Linked DNA regions of Tribolium castaneum. The protein of the gene in region 2 purifies or fractionates together with the protein of the main gene of each other region. This does not show direct contact. Links are inferred from orthologs where the notes say so. Each region holds a gene or a part of one and is shown on either strand. Other genes may lie near its edges.

The links.
Region 1: the proteins of U3 small nucleolar ribonucleoprotein protein MPP10 (region 2) and U3 small nucleolar ribonucleoprotein protein IMP3 purify together in Homo sapiens (affinity purification with mass spectrometry; 4 studies listed by BioGRID and IntAct, with this or other methods). This does not show direct contact. The link is inferred for Tribolium castaneum from reciprocal best matches to the Homo sapiens genes MPHOSPH10 and IMP3.

What each region holds. Positions count from the first base shown.
Region 1 is NC_087400.1:10,480,918-10,483,775, reverse strand, and holds U3 small nucleolar ribonucleoprotein protein IMP3, read right to left. Parts: upstream 1,670-2,858; 5' UTR 1,602-1,669; coding exon 1,465-1,601; intron 1,420-1,464; coding exon 1,312-1,419; intron 1,265-1,311; coding exon 1,161-1,264; intron 1,115-1,160; coding exon 939-1,114; intron 889-938; coding exon 868-888; 3' UTR 555-867; downstream 1-554. Other genes in the region: serine/threonine-protein kinase GL21140, read left to right, coding at 2,132-2,458, 2,508-2,732. UniProt on the Homo sapiens protein: Component of the 60-80S U3 small nucleolar ribonucleoprotein (U3 snoRNP). Required for the early cleavages during pre-18S ribosomal RNA processing. Part of the small subunit (SSU) processome, first precursor of the small eukaryotic ribosomal subunit.
Region 2 is NC_087399.1:8,513,078-8,516,822, forward strand, and holds U3 small nucleolar ribonucleoprotein protein MPP10, read left to right. Parts: upstream 1-1,416; 5' UTR 1,417-1,495; coding exon 1,496-1,575; intron 1,576-1,623; coding exon 1,624-2,983; intron 2,984-3,032; coding exon 3,033-3,170; 3' UTR 3,171-3,192; downstream 3,193-3,745. Other genes in the region: zinc finger protein 142, read right to left, coding at 1-622; protein SLC31A2, read left to right, coding at 3,346-3,617, 3,663-3,745. UniProt on the Homo sapiens protein: Component of the 60-80S U3 small nucleolar ribonucleoprotein (U3 snoRNP). Required for the early cleavages during pre-18S ribosomal RNA processing. Part of the small subunit (SSU) processome, first precursor of the small eukaryotic ribosomal subunit.

The DNA.
Region 1 (2,858 bases), on a different chromosome or scaffold from region 2:
TGTTTGCTATTGAAAAAAAAATTGCCCATAGGCGTAATAAAATGATTTTCAAATCCACTGATAGTCTTAAAAAAAATATAATGAGATCCGTAAGATGAAGAATAATGATCAGATTATTAACAGTAATAGTAATTTTTTTATGTATCTTCGTTCTCAAAATTTATTAATGTTAAAATAACAACTGGGTAAATTTTAGTGAAAAAAATGCACGTCTATGTATTTCATTATCTTAACCAAGTGAGTGCAAGAGACTTTTATGTCACTGACAGTTCGCCACCAGATTTGGAACCACCTCTATACAAGGACTTGGTGTGTATACTATGGAGTGTTGACAAATCATTTAGTAAAATTACCGTTGGAGACGCCACTCAGCTAGGTCAAAAAAGTAACCATAAATGGCGGAAAAAGCGCTTATTTGGATATTTTGTGTGTTGTACAAATTTTGAGGCTTCACAAGTATTGCATAGCGTATGCGGAATAACTAGTGTTATCTTTGGTGCAGGAAACGAATGTTGACAAATTAGAGATGACGAGAAAAACACGAATAACGAATGTTTGTTTCACTTTCTTTGTTGAATTATTATTAGAAAGACATTGAAAAGTCTACCTTTTGGAACAACTTCTGCTTAAATGTATCAACAGTTGGTAATCATCTTAATTGTAGTTTTCAAGATTTAGAATTGGGTTTTGTTTATTTTTGATACACTCATGTATGGCATAATGATTTACAATTCCTGTATGTTTTGGAAAAACAATAAAAATTTATAAGGACTTGGTGTTTCGTTTTACCAAACCAACTGAGTAACCAAATTTAAATTTAGTTGACAGTGTTGCCACCTACACTTAAAATTAATAAGGAAAATGTTATCACAACACGAAATCATCTCTCTGGAAAAAAAATGGTAAAAACCACGTTCTACATTATTTAAAAAATTTACCATTCCGTTATATTCAAGCACATGTTGTTTAATCTTGGAATTATCGACCCACGTTACAAAATCTTCCAAAGTCCTAGTTACAAGTAATGCTGGGTCTTTGACCAACTCGGGCCCAACCCTGACATGCCCCTGTTCAATTAATTTAGTAGCCCCCTTAATATTTTCAGCCATTTTATCTAGAAATTAATTTGGGGCAAAATTCTAACAATAACAACGACTTACTTCTAACCATTACAACGGCCAGTCGCCGCCGACAAAAGCACGAAGCTGTCACTTTCTCGGCCAGACTTAAGTCCCACCTTGTCGGTATTAACCCCATTAAATACCTAAAAATAAAAAACATAACCTCACTTTTGACAACGTTCCAACTTACAGTTTTTCCAACAATTGGGCACTTTTCTCAGTCCGGAAGGGGTCCTTAGCGTCCACTTCTTTAATTTTGCGGGCCAGTTCTCTAATATTACGGGCCAATTTGTTGTAACTACAAAATAAAATAAAACAAATGTCAAAACCGACCTAACCTCACTTTGTATAATCCTCGCGTTTCTGAATGTGGTACTTTTTGAGCACTCGCACTTCGTGCAAATTATTGTCGACTTCCCACGATATGAAGTCAACTTTTTTCAGGAGTTTTTGTTCGTGAAATTTTAATTTCCGGACCATTTTTGAAAATTGTGATCAGTCAAGGTGACACTCATGTGTGCCAACTCCGCCGGCCAAAATATTTAATTTGTTGATTAATTGTTGACTCACGCGGGCTATTTTTAATCAGTTTGTTAAACAATCTGTGATTGTGGCCGTGTCCAACGTGTGATAAGGTCCGGTTTGTGAAATTACGTTTCGTTTAATTTAGCTGTGATTTTCGTGGGGTTGGCTGCCATGCGTAACAAGCATCCCTCCCACTTGCCGAAAAGAGGTTATTACCTTTTTAACCGTAAAAACAGTTAGTTTAGCACAAAATCTAATTTTTTCATAATGAGATTATAGTTTGATTGTGTTGTGTGTGAAGTGTACCTTGAAAATCGCTAAAGAGTGGTTTGGGGATCTGTGGAGTTGATGTTTGGTGTAGTTTCGGTGACAGCTGGCAAATAGGCGGTACCAGTTTGTAGTTTTGGTTAAAAACAGCCCCATTGATTAAACACCAACGATGTTACGATGATTTCACGCCCCTTGTGACGATCCCACTTGGCAAAATGTCGAAGAACAACATCAGCGGCTCCCGAAGCGTCTCCTCGACCAGTTGTAACAGCATACAGTCCGACTTTGAAATCATCGATAACGGCATTGAAGAGCTAAATTTGAGTAAAAGCAGGCCCTCGTCGACGTCGCGGACGCAGAAAGCGAAAAGAATCCGATTTTACCATAACGGGAATAAGTTTTTTAACGGAGTTGTCATACCAGTGGCCCCCGAACGGTACAGGTCTTTTGACAGTCTGACGACCGAACTGACGAACATTCTGACTAAGAATGTTACTCTCCCCAGCGGTGTGCGCAACATCTACTCAATGGAAGGCAAAAAAGTATTAACCGATCAGATATCAAGACACCATAAATAATTTTTTCGCCCAGGTTTGTAGTTTGGACGATTTAGAGGACGGTAAGGAGTACGTCTGTAGTGGGAAAGGCGAGATGTTCAAACGAATCGAATACACGAAAACCGACACTTTGCGATCAAAAAAACTGTCCAATACGAAATTTAATAACTCACTTACACACACTCCAAGAATTATACCTCCAGATTGTGTTCGGCCTCGTATAGTCACCATTATTAGAAACGGGATTAAGCCCCGAAAGGTACGAAAATCAAGCTCGGAAAAGACAGCAAGTAACTGTATAAAATTACTAGTTCAATAACCAGTTCATTCGTTATATAATTAAAATAATAAAGGACACAAACGCTAAACGAACTCAAAATGTTAA
Region 2 (3,745 bases):
CGCCCTTGAATTTCGCCACGTAGAGACACATGGCGCACTGGTGCCACGTGATGGCCTCCGGGGGCGTATGCCTCCGCAAAACGTGCGTTTTGAGGTAATTTCTGTCTTTCGTTTTGAACTCGCATAAATGGCACGGGATTAACGAGGGGACCCCGGGGGGCTGGCGCGCGGGCCGCTGGACGTGGTGCAGCGTCCGGGGGATTCCCTCGGAGCAGTAGAGTTTTATCGTCGTCTCTCCCGACTTATCGACCAGTTTCATTAACATCAACACTGAGTTTTTATCGGTGACTTTACACCGACTTGAGTAAATGTGGTTCAAGAGAATCAGTCGGGAGTAAGTTTTGAAGTTGCAACTTTCACAAACGTAGCACACTGTCTCATTTTTTTGTCGATATATGGGGATTTGTGTCAAGGAATGTGTCTTCAGTTGGGCCAAAAAGGGGGTTAAGGTACGACACGAGAGGCATTTGTACGGTTCGAGGAGGCCGTCGATGCACTTGTACGGTTCCAAAACTCTACGTCTCTTGGAATTTGAGCTGAAAAAGGTGGATGTTGTGAAAGGGTGGCTTCGAGAACTGCGGAATCTTTCGGAGCCAAGGGGGTGCAAATCGATGTCCCCCATCTCACAGTTCATTAAGAACGTACACAATTCGGGTTAAAACCGCATTTTTTAATGTTTTATTTCAAGACATTGGTTAGGTTATGGAGCGTAGTTCGTATGCACTGACAGTCGGTGAAGGTGCACTAAAAATTGGGGTGGGACTGTGGAAATTACAGTCGACCAGACAACTGCTGCGCTTGCAGCTGGCACCATTTCTCAATCATTTAAATTAAAACTTAAGTATACATTCAATTTCTGCATTTTTATATGTCACTAATCTATCACTATAATATATCAAATAAAAAAAAGACATAATCTGTCAATATAAATTGCACAGCAAGAGTTGATCTAAAGACTTTTTGAATGCTTTGTTAAAATTTAAATCGTTGTTAAAAGTTAACAACACGAATGGGCCAGTCCAATTGTTTGAATGTGGTCACGTGACCAGTTAATCACGCATTTAATTGTAGATTAAATTAATGACGCTTCTATAAACCGGTACTAAAAGTGTTTTTACATTATTTTATTTATAAATTCGTTTGATGAATCATTAAAAACGTTTGTTTGATACGCTTTTATATTACCAATAAAAAAAATTAAATTGATGTTTGGGCGAGACCATGACCCCCGTTCCCCCCACCTGGAACCGCCCTTGGTGGACAAACACCCCTCGGGAAAGACTACCGCTAATTATTACAAATAATAAATTAATTAAATCAGTTAGCTCACGCCAAATGATCACAGCCTTCAAAAGGATTTCAAACGCTTGCAAATTATTTTTCCATAAAATTTAACTTCGACTATAAACTACTCTCACCGAAGGTCACACGAGTAGTTCTGTTGCACACCATAACCTTAAAAAACATGTGTTTGTAAATTTGTAATGCGGAAAAAATGGTACAAACTACGGATTTTTACAATACGTGCCTCTCAGATTTTAAGGAGATAACGCACAAACCTACAAATTTCCTCCAGTGAGTTATTTTATCAATTTGTGTAACAGTTGTGTAAATTTTTTGCAGGATTAGTGACCCTCTTTGTGAGAAAATCAAAACTAGCTTAAAAAAATGTTACGATTACGCGAAAGCGGAGGAAATCACCAGAACGGACGCTTTGCCACAATTAAATGTAAAAAATTTCGACTTGGAGCAAATTTGGCAACAAATCGAGTTACAAAACGAGAATTTAACCACCAAAAGTGTGACTTGTGTTAGCAGACTAATCGCTGGTAAAAGCCGACTTTTATTTAAAAATCTAGACAAGAGTGGAATTAGCGATGACGGAAGTGAAGTTGAAGAAAACGATGATGGAAGTGAAGTTGAGGAAAATTCGGAGCATTCTGACACCAGTGGTGATGAATCAAACGATTTAAACGACGTGGAGAGCTCTGATGATGAAGTCGAGACGACCGAAACGAGCAAACCCGTAAAACGGTCAATCGTCGACGATGATTTCTTCAAACTGGACGAAATGGAGCGTTTTCTTCGCGAAGAGGAGAAGAAAGAGGAAGGTGTTGATTCCGGCAACGATTCTGAATCTGAGGCAAGTGTTGATTTATTTGAGGCTGATTCCGATGACTCGGAAGATCACGCAAAGACGGCGAAATACAAAGACTTCTTCGTCCAAAATGAAGAAAAGCCGTCGACTTTCGAATTGCGCCAAAAGCGTCTGGCTAAGAAAATCGAAGAAATTGAAGAGGAAGCAATTCAGGACAAGACTTGGCAATTAAAGGGTGAAATAACGGCCGAGAAACGGCCCCAAAATTCGCTCCTTGAGGAGGTCGTGGAGTTTGATATGACGACAAGGCCGCCCCCTGTAATGACCGAACAAACCACAATGCAGTTGGAGGATATCATAAAAAGAAGAATCAAAGACAAAGTGTTTGATAGTGTGGAACGTAAGGCAAAGCCGGTGGAAAATTTGTTAGACTATAAGAAAAAAATCGTCTTGGACCAGGAAAAAAGCAAAGAGTCTTTGGCACAAATCTACGAGAAGGAGTTTCTTCAAGCGCAAGAACCCGAAGATAGGGAGAAAGAAGAACCAGAGCTCCACAAGGAAATTAACTCTTTGATGAGGAAATTGTTCACGAAATTGGACGCTTTGAGCAATTTCCACTTTACGCCAAAGCCTGCAGTTCCCGATTTGAAAATTATCAGTAATTTACCGGCGATTAGTGTGGAAGAAGTGGTGCCAACTGCGGTAAGTGATGCCACATTGTTGGCACCTGAAGAAATACAAAAGAAACCAAAAGGTGATCTCGTCGGAGTGAAAGAAAGGACAACGACTGATAAAAAAAGGGAACGGAGAAAAAAGAAATTGAAGCAAAAAATTCACGCCAAAAATAAGAAGGAACCAGTCAAGAAAGCAAAAAATGTTAATTTGGTGGGTTTTGATTGGGTTAAGGGCTTTTATTTTATTTCCTTGGTTGCAGATGGAGGACAAGGGAAAGAGGATAAAGTCGTCCAAGGAGTTTTTCAATCAGTTGCAAGAACAAGTCCAGGTTTCGCAAATTAAGAGAAAAGCGGCCCCTACTACCAATAAAAAGAGCGCGAAAAAATTAAAATTGTAAATGAATAAATCCTTACTGTAAATTGCGTGTTTTTCTCATTTACCTACAAATAACATAACTAACAATTTCAAGTGATAAGCGTTGATAAGCTTATCGTTGAATTTTGATGTGGTGAACATAACCTCAATTTTTCTCTTTAAAACCGTTGATAAAATGTGCTAACGCGGGTTTCGCCATGCATATGTCGTTTTGGTGGGACTACAAACTTACCGACTACCTCTTCCGGGGGCTGTCGTCACACTCAATCGCGGGCCTTGTCGGTATGTGTCTCAGCGTGGCCTCCATGTCTTTCGCTTTCGAGTTTCTCCGTTACCTGCAAGCCAAACAACGCCAGAAAGAACTGATCCTCAGGTCGGAGCAACTGAAAACGATTTGCCCCACTGAGACCTCGACACTGCTTGATGGGACTCAAGCGCCCCCCGGGGTCACAATCACGCCAATGCACAGGTTGTACTATTACAAATGTGAATAAAAACAAGACGTTTGTTTTAGAACGTTTTTATTCGTCTCGGAGATTGGGCTCTGGTTCTCTTTACAAAACTTAGGTTATATTTTGATGTTGTCTGTTATGTTGT